Linked DNA regions of Neodiprion lecontei. The protein of the gene in region 3 purifies or fractionates together with the protein of the main gene of each other region. This does not show direct contact. Links are inferred from orthologs where the notes say so. Each region holds a gene or a part of one and is shown on either strand. Other genes may lie near its edges.

Region 1 (3,759 bases), about 3.8 Mb from region 3:
CGGATAATCGAACCGTGGGTTTTTTGGATTGAGATCACAAACAACACATTTTTACACAAAAACAGTACATACATATATATATTAAGATTTGACATACATAGTAACGTTGAAATATATGTGTGTGCGTGTGTGTGCGCGTGCGTGTGTGTATGCATGTATTTTAAACACCTGAAAAAACTCGAATGCCTTTGTTTATATTTTTTTATGACATCGTCAATTTTATATCAACGAACGTCTGTAACGCGTTTTTGCATGCCCGCGATTTTCGCGAAGATACATTGTTGCTCACGGCGGTGGCAGCGAGCAACAATGTATCTTTCGCGCCAATGTTCAAATAATTGAGGGTTCGGATGATCAAGGTTCTACTGTATTTCAATTTTATTTCTATTTTAAATGATAAGTCTCTTGAAGCCGTATGAATGTATGCATAACTTTGTTGAAGATCTATAAAAATAAGGTAAAAAAATGATGTTTCTAAAAAGTTAATGTTCCAATACTCTATCCTCAGGCAGCCAAACGATTCCATGATATCCAGATTCTTCAGAAAAAATTGCACAAAAAACTGCCACTGAAAATTCATTGTTAAGAAGATAAGTGAACGAAGATTCGAAATAAATATACATGAGCCTTAACCACTAGCATTAATACTTGTGGAAGTTAGAGAAATTTAATCTCCAAATTATCATAAATTTATACCACGGTAAAACACATTTCAATGACAGTTTCTTATGCAACCTTTTGTGAAAAATCCGAAAATCAGGTTGCGTTGGTCGCGTGAGGATTCAAACCATTGAAATATTGATTGTTTGGAAGCATATTTTTTACGTAGTTTCCTTAGCTTTTCGATAAAATCAGGATTAACAAGGTGAATATACGGTTATTTTTACATGAAATAAATATATTGATGAAATTGAATAAAATTCAATGACTTCTTTCAAATTTTCGAAGTTTTCAATATTTTCTCTGAAATTTTGTATGACCAAATCTATTACCAAATAAAAATCTGGACGAAACAACATAGGATTGGAACACCAAATAAAATTCACTGTATAAGACAAGTACCGAGGATCATTATCAAGCGGGAGGATCCAGTAAACTGAGGTAACTCCATGGCTTGCGTTAAGTGCCGTGATTATGAATCGATACATAATCAAGCAATTGGATGGTGTGAAAAATCTTATCACTGGACGGGTTTGATGTTGATTGCGAAGATCTCTGATTGCAGTGTGTTAGAATCATCAAAATCTTAAATCAAACGGTCTCTCAAGCATGGTTTTTGAATTGTATCACATTCAAATATGTCACATTTCCTTACAGATGTTGGGTATGTGGTTTGGCACCGTCCCATTGAACCAGCCATTCTTCTGAAATTACTCTTTCATTTAATTAAACCACAATTGCAAGACCATCATTTCTATATAAAGTAGAAATTTTCTGAACTTTACGACATGTTTGAACTTGGAAACTATTTGATATCTGTAGTACACTTTCATCGTAATACTTTTTGTTTTTGTTTATGTGTATCCAACAGCTTTTTCTATTACTTATAATTCGATCAATGATTTATAAATAATCATACTCTAGTCTGAAAATCAATAGCAACATTGATGTATTGAAGCAAACGGAAATTCGAGTGATATTAAACAAAACGAGCAAATGTACATTGAAAAATTAAAAGCCCGAAATTGAAATGTGCACATTGTTACAAATATGCAAGTAGCTTGTGCCGTGCCTTACTATTTGAGTGATAATGCAATGATATTTATCATGTCCAAACTTACTTCCATTGTATGCTATTCTTGCTTTTTTTCTCAATCAGCCCAATTCCCTCGAGTACATTAGTGATGTCGTATATTCGTCTCTTTTGTCGCACCTCCAGTATATCAGCGGCCTAAGGGAAAGTGTTGGCACAGATTAATGTATCAGTCTTGTAAAAGTTTGAACGTTTCATGTAATAACCATTGAATAATCACACGCAGTCAGAAATTTTATTCTCATAATATATAAATTCAAATTTCGAGTGCTTTATCTATCATACAACAATAAAAATGTGTTACAGGTTAGGAAACTAACGAGATTAGTTTCTTCATTATGAACTCTGTATTCAACTGTGGTTAACTCCAAACCCTTATAAAATTTACCCGCATTGTAATTCATGAACTGGAACTCGTGATTTGCACATTGTCTGGCATTTTTGTCATGTTGTTTTTTTTTCAAAATTCCCGCAAGAGGAACCACACCAGCAGAAAACGTACACATATATGCTCATAATAAGTTAACCTAGATCTCGCGGTGACTTTTTGCTAGCTTACGTATCGACGCCGCTCACCACTTTCAGGTCCAATACTCCGTCTTTCGCCTTTTGTAACAAAGTTACAAACCGCGTCGTCAGCAAACCGAGTGACTTTTCGAACCTGCTCTGCTGATTGTCTGCCATTTTAAAAGGCCGTTGTCAAAATTTTCAAAACGAAACGCACTCCTCTTCGAAATTGCCGCACGCGATACGCCATCACCGACTGGCTGAACTCAAACTCGGGTTTAAATCATAGAGGGCGTCTTCTTGACCGAAGCAACATAAACGTATAGGTATGTGCTGGAAACGGCCGCAGGACCGATTGGAGCCTATAGCACGGTTTACAATGTCTGTAACCGTAAACGTAACCGCTTCAGTAGGAAGTTAAAGGATATGAAAAACCGTACTATGGTTTACAACGCTGTCTGCTGGCGCTTAAGTATAATCCGCTTCAGTAGAATCTAGCCGAATTTGAACGTTCTACTGAAGCGTTTCTACGGACAGCCAATCAGAATGCAGATTATATCCGTCCATCTCCCCACCCCCAAGCACACAAAACGAAAGGAAAAATAAGTCATTGAAGATACGACAGCAAGCAAAACAATGGAAAGCTTCGATATGAAATTAATTGGACTAGTTGAAAAAGCCCCGTGCTTGTATGATAAAAGTAGCGGTGATTATAAAGATAGGGTAAAAAAAAAACAATACGTGGTTCCGTATTGCCCGGGAGTTGAATATTTCAAGTAAGTGTTTAAGGTTACTTCATTTTGTATGTTTATATATAAACATATATGTATAAAATTTATACATAAAACATTTTATAACAAATTTAATAAATCTTTCCCAAATTCATTGACGACAAACTACTATATTTCTTCATAATGTGTTGTAAAAATATAAGATACAAGCTTAAAGTTATCTTGATATTTTGTAGCTGAGGATTGTGAGAAGAGGTGGAAGTTGTTGCGTGAGCGTTTTTCACGGGAAAAGCGCTGTGCCAGAATTGGTCCACCATCGGGAGCTGCAGGCGGTGTTTCCGACAGGCAGCCATCAAGCTATTTCAAAGCGATGCAATTCCTCGATTTGCACGTCAAACCAAGAAAGTAAGTTTCATTTTTCGTCTGATAGCAAATTAAGACTGTTTTTATCTTGGAAACATAATTGTCTTTTTCTATCAAATTTATTGACCAAGGACAAAACGATGTTTCACAGCTGAAATTCGCTTTAATGATCATTGTTGAATGTATGTTTTATACGTCGACTATTTTACAGGACAATTGGTAATATTCCACAATGCTCTTCCCAGAAGAAAACATTGTCTTCGGATGAAGAACCAGATATGGACCCGTCAGCGCATGATTGGGATGTGTATGAATTTCTAAATTCGAATGATGAAAATCAGTACAAAGAGGACTCTATCGGCATGATTATAACAGATGAAAATGGAAAGGTGAATTTACCGCCCA
Region 2 (3,759 bases), on a different chromosome or scaffold from region 3:
TGGAAAAATTTTTCAACAAATCTTACAAAGTACATGTTGCTGGAATTTTCATTCAAATGAACATTTGGCATTTGAGTCACACCGCGCATTGACTTCCTGAAATTTGGTGCCTGCAATTTGATGGATAAGAATATGTAGCAAATTATCAGCTTACCTGATACTTTGGAGCGTTGTTAAGAAGAGGATAATTGCCTTGTGCATCCCCATTGTGTAACAAATGATTGTCGACAAGGTTCCATCCCCAAGAGTGTTCGTCGGAACCAAGTAGAGCTACATACCCTTGGCAGAGTAGAGATGCTTCTTTCGTTGCTATTCCTATCACAGCTACGGTTCCCAAAGGACCTTCCCAAATTACCTCCCACGCATGACGTCCATGGCGGAATCCTATCTTACTCCGAGAGGCATCTGTACTTTGAGCGACTGGATTTCTGGAGGTTGAAAATGAAGCGAATATTGGAATGAAGAAAATCGCTTGGTTTGTGTGAAAATTTAAAGTAACGGGTATGTTGTGTGCATTGAAGTCAACTCAATCACAGCACGTGACAAAACGTAAAATATACTGCTATTGCACCTACCGGTGCAAAGTGAACCCGTTTGGTTTGATGTAAATATTGCGGGAACAATCGTCAGGGTTCCAAGCATGGTAAAAAGCTCGTAATTTGGCTTTATAGGTGGGAACCGATGACAGCAAATCCGACTTGAGCGCTTCTTCAGCGAGTTTTCTAATACAGTGTAACCGCCATACATCATTATTCTCATCGTTCAAAATTCTATACCAGTTCTTACACACCAAGGAACAATTTCGCAAATCGTGCAATTTTAAGTAGGAAAATATCACTTCTAAAACATGATCGGGAACCCTTGACGCTATATCGTCCATTTTGCCGGTCCTACGTGAACGACGGAACAAAATACAGGTGGGATGGAAAGGAAACGAAATAGGGAGGTCGTTCTGCACTGTGATTCGCAGATACATTGATTCACTGACGTTTTGTGTAGTAGCGCTGAGTTCCCCAGCTACACATAATTCGATACTCAATGACTGAAGTTTGCGGTAGACGGGGAACGATGAGGAACGGAGCGAACCACGTGATCAGCACTGGCCAATCAGCTGTTTAGCTTTGTGCTACCGCCAAGCTCGTCTCGGCTCTACTTGCACTAAAAAGCTGTATTTTACTGACGCGTTGTTAATGTCGTGATAACGATTCAACGAGAAGCTGTGTGTCGCGCACGATAGCGCGGTTAGTTTATTTTGATAATTCGCAATATTATTGATACTTGGTAACCGGGTTTTTACAATATTTACTTCACAAATAGTGCAATGCCGGAGTCGCCATTTTGGTGATACGTCGAGTCCGACCTAACTATTGCACTTATGATCTTTTTATTTTCACGCGAATTTCAGTCCGCTTACGGGATCATATTTGATACCTTCGATATCCAGAAGCATCAGTGATGACCCAGCAAAATAAAACGATGAATTTCTTGATACACGACGCAAATGGTAAGTCGTCCAACTGGCGCGCCAACAATCGGCACGCACGGCTCCGTCTCTGAATATTCCTTGTCGAATGAAGTGTGAAACAATACCTCGTGCGATCAACCGAGGAGCGCGTTTTCTAACCAAATTTCACGATTCTTATATTTCGCATATCCATTTCTATTTGGATTCGTCAATTTGATCGCAGGCTCCTTGCTAAACTCAATCACGTTAAAACGTGTGTTTCGCGTTTACTACCAGAATACCGCGAACGAAAGAATGCAATTTTTGCAATCTTTGTTTGTAACCGAATCTTACATTAATAATCTTGATCGAGATTTCTTTCTAAGGATTTACAGAATATCCCAATCACTTTCATTTACTTATCGATAACTAGAACATCCCACTGTATAGTTCTGGATTTCCTTACGTTAAACTTACAATTTACACATTGACACTGACAAATTCTCTGTTCTTTTATTGATATACTTGTGGAATCCATGAATAATAAACAAACATATTTAGTACTGCTCGCGTGATTGTAATTGGTTCACTTTCATTGAGAAATAGCTATTGGAAATTGAAGATTAATGTTAAATGATATTGCTGTTTGGTATTCCTATTTTAGTTAAACTAGCTGTATTGTTTTCACGTAATAACGTGTATTGATAATCAGTCGTACACTGAATATCATTCTTGTAGATCTCAATTAGGATATAAATAATTCATTATTGTTCTTCTTAGCAACAAGGGCATTCCTTATTTGCCTTCAAGATCAATCAGTTGATTTGCCTCTAAAATTTGTGTACTACAGCAGCATTGACTCTTGAAGGACGAATGCCATTCAATATGAAATCTTAAATATTTCAGTATTCCCTACTGCTAAACACTTGATACTACTCAGAAGAGCCATCTAATGTACATACATTAGTTGATTAACTGAAGTTTTGGATCATATAAAATTGTTAATCTGTGATATTTTAAAAAAAATAAACTTTCTTACAGGCCAACCACAAGTTATTAAAGTGGTTCCGAGCACGCCGAATAAAGCACTAACTGGGCTTGTTAGCACCACAAATTCCGGGAGTTTGAAGGTATTCAAGACACCTGGCCAAGATACCCAAGTAAATATCATTTAAAATATATAATCAGACTCGCAACATTTGTATCATTTTTCTAATAATTACCATATATTGAAAAATTGCTCTACCAATATTCAACAGGTTTGCAAACATATTTTAATTATGTTATACAATGAGTACAATCCATATTATTCTGCACTCCCATCTTGAATATTTTTTACGGTTCCCATTTGTATGACTACTGAGTATGGTTCATAAAGCTTTCTAAGATGACACTGAAGCTCATATTTATAGACCTATTCGGATGAGCTGATTCATATCACAATTTAACCCAATGGCCACAAACAGGAGTTCTCAAAACAAAAATTCAAACTGTCTCACAACATATAGTATTTCTGACGTGTGCTATCTTGTACATTTTTTAATCAAGGGATTCAATAGATGATACGCAGAATTATCCCCGCCTGCTAGTGTAAGCTTCCAGCTTCTAGCTTCAACTTTGTATTTACAGGGTGCCCAGTGGTCAGTTAAATGTGTAGCAATTCGGGGGATATTGAATCACTTAGTGAGTGGGCACCCTGGGTTCATTGTGATGATATTATGACCATTACTGTTTGCACACTCAGGTCTTGTCCAGTGGGACACAAGTACTGAGAACCATCAGTTTGCAAGGTTCTTCAACACCTGGTCAGCGTGAGTATTACAGATTCTTACCTAGTTTCTTGCAGTACATATTGACGGATCCTATGAAAACAGAAGTATTTCGATGGGTCGGATAGAACACTTATATTTTGCCGCGCAATCTAGAATGGATGTAACTTAAAAAGTGTTACAGCATGTCCATACAGAGCTCTATACACAACTTTTAGCATCTTTTAAGATAGATCCGTTTTAGGTTACCCAGTGAAATACGGCCTTTCTATCTGGACTGTCAAAATATGTTTGTTTCTATAGGACCCATCTATATATCTGTCTTTTCAGTTATCAGAAAGTTCACATTTCTCATGTAACAAAATATTTTTCTATTAGGCTTAGTTACCATCCCTGTACAAAGTGCAAAAATGTCATCTGTAAAAGCTGGGGAATCTGTAGTGACAAAAACAATACAACTTACAACTGCTCGAATGGTAGGTTACAACATCATGAGCATTGGGAAAATATGAATCAGGAGCTATTCAAAAAAGACATTAGCTTTTC
Region 3 (3,759 bases):
TTGATGACGAATGACATACAGAGGATAAAACAGGGTGATGAAACTTCATCGATTCAGGGTAGCTGATTCTAGCTGACAAAGTATACCTATACAGAGTATACCTATAACAGTTTTTGATACTCATGTACACTAATTGAACTTAGCATACTTTGTCATAATATAGTACTTTTTTTCCAATTGCCAAATGGAGTATGTGACTGATACATATCAAAGTATTTGAGGGTTACGTTAAATGCAATTTAATTCTTAAATATGAAGAAAAACCCAATCATCTAAGGTAAACAATTACGCACGCAAGATCATGCGCTTTCTTACCTATCAAAAAATATACGCTTGAAGTTTTAAATGTTGATTCGAACGAAAATATTAATGCGTCTATACTACATTAGTTGTTTCAAAAGACGTATTCACAAAAACTAATATGAAATAAATACATAATTTAATTTATGGAAAAATTTTGCCAAGAAGACTTTCGTGATGGGAATCGTTTAAATTTCCAAATGAACAAACATTCGGAATTTGAAACACATAGAAAAAAAAAAATCGTATGCTATGTCGAAGGTCTATATTCAGAAGCAGTTTCTTACCCAAAAATTTTCTTTCGTCAAAATCACCGACACTAAGAACGTGCTGTTCGTATGCTTTGTTGACGGCTTTGCTGTTGCCGTCAAAATTTAACGGCTCCAGGATACCTGAGAAGTTTGATTGATCTCCACGCAGAACCTTGTCATTGAACAACTTATTTATGTGATCCTTCAAGTAATATTCTTTAATCACTTTAGCCTCCACAGCGATACCTTCACGAGTCTCACACAGTAAACTTATAATACAGTTTGCTGTCTCCGGAGGTACGTAGTCATCGTTGTTGTAATTCGCAGGTAAACCTACATAGAAAGAGTATAAAATTAATTCCAGCTATCAAGAAAAGTTGAAACAAGTCTGAAAGAAGGTTTTGAGCTTTGAACAAGCATGCCAATCGGAAACTGAGTAAAGTCTCTACAAAGTAGTTCATCGCATATCGGTCAACAACTCACCAGCAAATTTTGGATTGAGCAGATCTCTCCTGTTGGCCAACAGTGCGTTGCTATAAATCAGATCGCAGCAGGCAAGAAGTAAATGATTTAAATTGACCAAATCATGTGATATATCAGGGAAAGCTCCCTTTATGCATACAAACAGTGTCCAACAAAACTCAAAAACTCTCGATGGTGTACATGGCATTGCTCTCTGCCTCCTAGATCTGGAGGGTCTAGCGACATCATCAGCTGGATTTTTGAATATGTCCGTGAAAATGGGTTGGTACTTTTTGAAGATAAGCATCGAGACAGTAAAATTCCTCTCAAGTTTGTCAATTTTAGATCTAAAATCTTGCGGCATATTTGCCATGTCTGCCCAGTTTTTACTCTTTGTGAAAAATTGTATCAGTGACAAATTACACAAATGAAGAAGACGTGTCAATGACACGCAGTTCCCCTCGACGTTTGGGCCTGTTCGACCAACCGTTGGTGTCGATGACTTTCGACACGCAACATACAATGCACAGCCTATCCAATGCAGTTGATCTCCCTGGAACGTGATTTCAATACATATTTAAGTAAAGGAATAACAAGAGAAATTTGGAAAGTTCTAAAATGACAGTAACACAAATCCTTGTTCAAATGTCTGAACTGACTCAGAAACTTAGGAACTAGTGAGAAGAAATATTTAACCATACAAAACAACGGATTCAATGTAGATGAAAAATGAGTCACATGGTAAAAAAAAATTCATGTAATTTTGATGCATTGAATAAATTTGATAAGAACGGTAATCATTCAAATAAGAGGGATTTTGATCAAGTTACTGAAAATATATTTTGAACTAAAGCTGTTGTGTGATTGCGACGTGTCGTTGTCGGAGCAAATCATAAATGTTACAACTGAGAAGTGGATTGAGTTTGATCGGATAGTTCATGATGATTCAACAATACAAATTGCATAGCCATTTTGTAGTGAAGTGTTTGAAGTTCGCAATTGTTTGTTAAATGTTTATTGTACATTATTGCACGTATCACGAAAATTCTAGGATTTTTTTGAATAATTGCTTTGGAGTCATCGAGAGGTGATAATTTCATTGTAATTTTGAGACGTTTATCTCAGAATTATCTATAAAGAGGCTATGTGCAGGTGAGGAACGTTTGAAAACATTGAAATTGTTGTTAGGTAATTAGAATGATAAAATACCTCAAGAGTGTAATTCTGTCGAATAGTCTCGTACGATTTCCAAGCTTCAGAAGCTGCTGTCGCGTCCATATTGAGTTTTTGGCATAAATCTTGATGCCTACTGTACGTAGAATCTTCAACATCGTCCGACTGCCCCATTTTTCAAATGATACTCACTATAAAATCACTCAAAATTACGGAAAACCCTCAATAACACAACTGGGGTGCGCCATACGAGGACCCGTAGCACCTTGGCGGGAAACGATGAACTGTCGCCATATTTGCCAAGTTGGCGGGAAATATAGAAACGAATATTTCATCCAAAAATATCATATTTAAAACTGCAAATTGATACATTTTTCCGATCGAGATTCGGTATATCTTTTTCATAATTTAAAAGCCGTAGTCTAAACAATTTCGAGCTTATTTATTTCGTATTTGGTACTATTTTATTACGCGTATTCTGAGGTTGTGCCAGATCCATATCAAGAAGTGCATAAAAATGTATTATTCCTCTAACTTCACTGGTTTATAACTCGATGTACAGTTTCTTCAACCGTCTTTTCAACTCATCATACTTTTGAATCCCAACATTCTCATCATTTGACTTAGTTTTCACTGCAACGGTGATGTAGCAGAAGTTGCACATTGACGCCTCGGTTGCGGGACTACTTCCAATAATTAGTTTGGACACCCTTACTACTTTTTTTCTGCTTTTCGTTCCGAGGCCATCATCTGGTTGATCCACCTAGAACATAACCTCAAATAATAATCTACTACGAATTGTCGTTTTTCTGTGACGCTGAAATGTTACTATCGTAAAATTCAGCGATTGTTTGAATTTATTACCGTTATCAATACTGCCTGTATTGAAAATTGCACGAATCGATAAGCCATGGCTAGCAAATGGCAAGATTTGACAAAAATAAAATTGTTTTATAACTTGTTCCGCGGTATCTCTACTTGCGATACGAATTTCGCAAAATCCTACGCCGCGAGGGAGGGAAAATTTATTTCAAAAATCATGAGAGGAGATCGGACACCGAGGTGAGAGTCTCAAATTGAGAGTAATATGCAACAAAATTAATGCGGTACTTTTCAAGATTTGTTTGAATAATAAGATTTTATGTTTCCACATTCAATTTCAAATTCATTTCATTTATAACAATCTTATTTCAGAAAATGGTGTCAGAGTAGTGACAGTTCATCAAATCCTCACACATTGTTGAAGCCACGCCTGCCTCATCAGAGTAAACGCAGAAATGATGTTCTGAACAAGCTATTCATGAAGTACATTACAGATCTACTGGCCACTGGAGAAGTAGCTCCAGATATTATTGATCAAGGGGTTGAAATATCTCGTGTCAGTGTGACACCAGATTTTAACAAAGTCAACGTATTTTGGTTTGCCAAGGATGGCGCCGAGTCAGATGAACGCATCGAACAAATCTTGCATAGGGCGGAGGGAGCTTTGAGACACGAGCTTAGCCAGCTCAGATTAATGGGGGTTGTTCCGATGATTAAATTTGTGAAAGATAGGCAGTATATCAAGATTATA

The links.
Region 1: the proteins of retinoblastoma-like protein 1 (region 3) and transcription factor E2F4 purify together in Drosophila melanogaster (affinity purification with western blotting; 5 studies listed by BioGRID, with this or other methods). This does not show direct contact. The link is inferred for Neodiprion lecontei from reciprocal best matches to the Drosophila melanogaster genes Rbf and E2f2.
Region 2: the proteins of retinoblastoma-like protein 1 (region 3) and transcription factor Dp-1 purify together in Drosophila melanogaster (affinity purification with western blotting; 4 studies listed by BioGRID, with this or other methods). This does not show direct contact. The link is inferred for Neodiprion lecontei from reciprocal best matches to the Drosophila melanogaster genes Rbf and Dp.

Annotation. Positions count from the first base shown.
Region 1 is NC_060264.1:11,859,983-11,863,741, forward strand, and holds the start of transcription factor E2F4, read right to left. Parts: upstream 2,564-3,759; 5' UTR 2,438-2,563; coding exon 2,330-2,437; exon of another isoform or gene 2,313-2,329; intron 2,284-2,312; exon of another isoform or gene 2,148-2,283; coding exon of another isoform or gene 2,142-2,147; intron 1,892-2,141; coding exon 1,782-1,891; intron 1,365-1,781; exon of another isoform or gene 1,149-1,364; coding exon of another isoform or gene 1,063-1,148; intron 1-1,062. Other genes in the region: uncharacterized protein LOC107216924, read left to right, coding at 3,362-3,396, 3,566-3,759. UniProt on the Drosophila melanogaster protein: Transcriptional repressor that binds to E2f sites and represses E2f-regulated target genes. Binding to E2f sites requires transcription factor Dp. Acts synergistically with Rbf2 to antagonize E2f1-mediated transcriptional activation.
Region 2 is NC_060261.1:34,106,992-34,110,750, forward strand, and holds the start of transcription factor Dp-1, read left to right. Parts: upstream 1-1,113; 5' UTR 1,114-1,241; exon of another isoform or gene 1,242-1,405; 5' UTR 1,406-1,455; coding exon 1,456-1,504; intron 1,505-2,372; exon of another isoform or gene 2,373-2,398; intron 2,399-2,485; coding exon 2,486-2,604; intron 2,605-3,188; coding exon 3,189-3,255; intron 3,256-3,591; coding exon 3,592-3,689; intron 3,690-3,759. Other genes in the region: F-box/SPRY domain-containing protein 1, read right to left, coding at 155-428, 576-880. UniProt on the Drosophila melanogaster protein: Component of the DREAM complex, a multiprotein complex that can both act as a transcription activator or repressor depending on the context. In follicle cells, the complex plays a central role in the site-specific DNA replication at the chorion loci.
Region 3 is NC_060264.1:8,083,754-8,087,512, reverse strand, and holds the start of retinoblastoma-like protein 1, read right to left. Parts: upstream 2,703-3,759; 5' UTR 2,361-2,702; coding exon 2,223-2,360; intron 1,567-2,222; coding exon 1,035-1,566; intron 885-1,034; coding exon 588-884; intron 1-587. Other genes in the region: uncharacterized protein LOC107222088, read left to right, coding at 3,097-3,248, 3,381-3,759.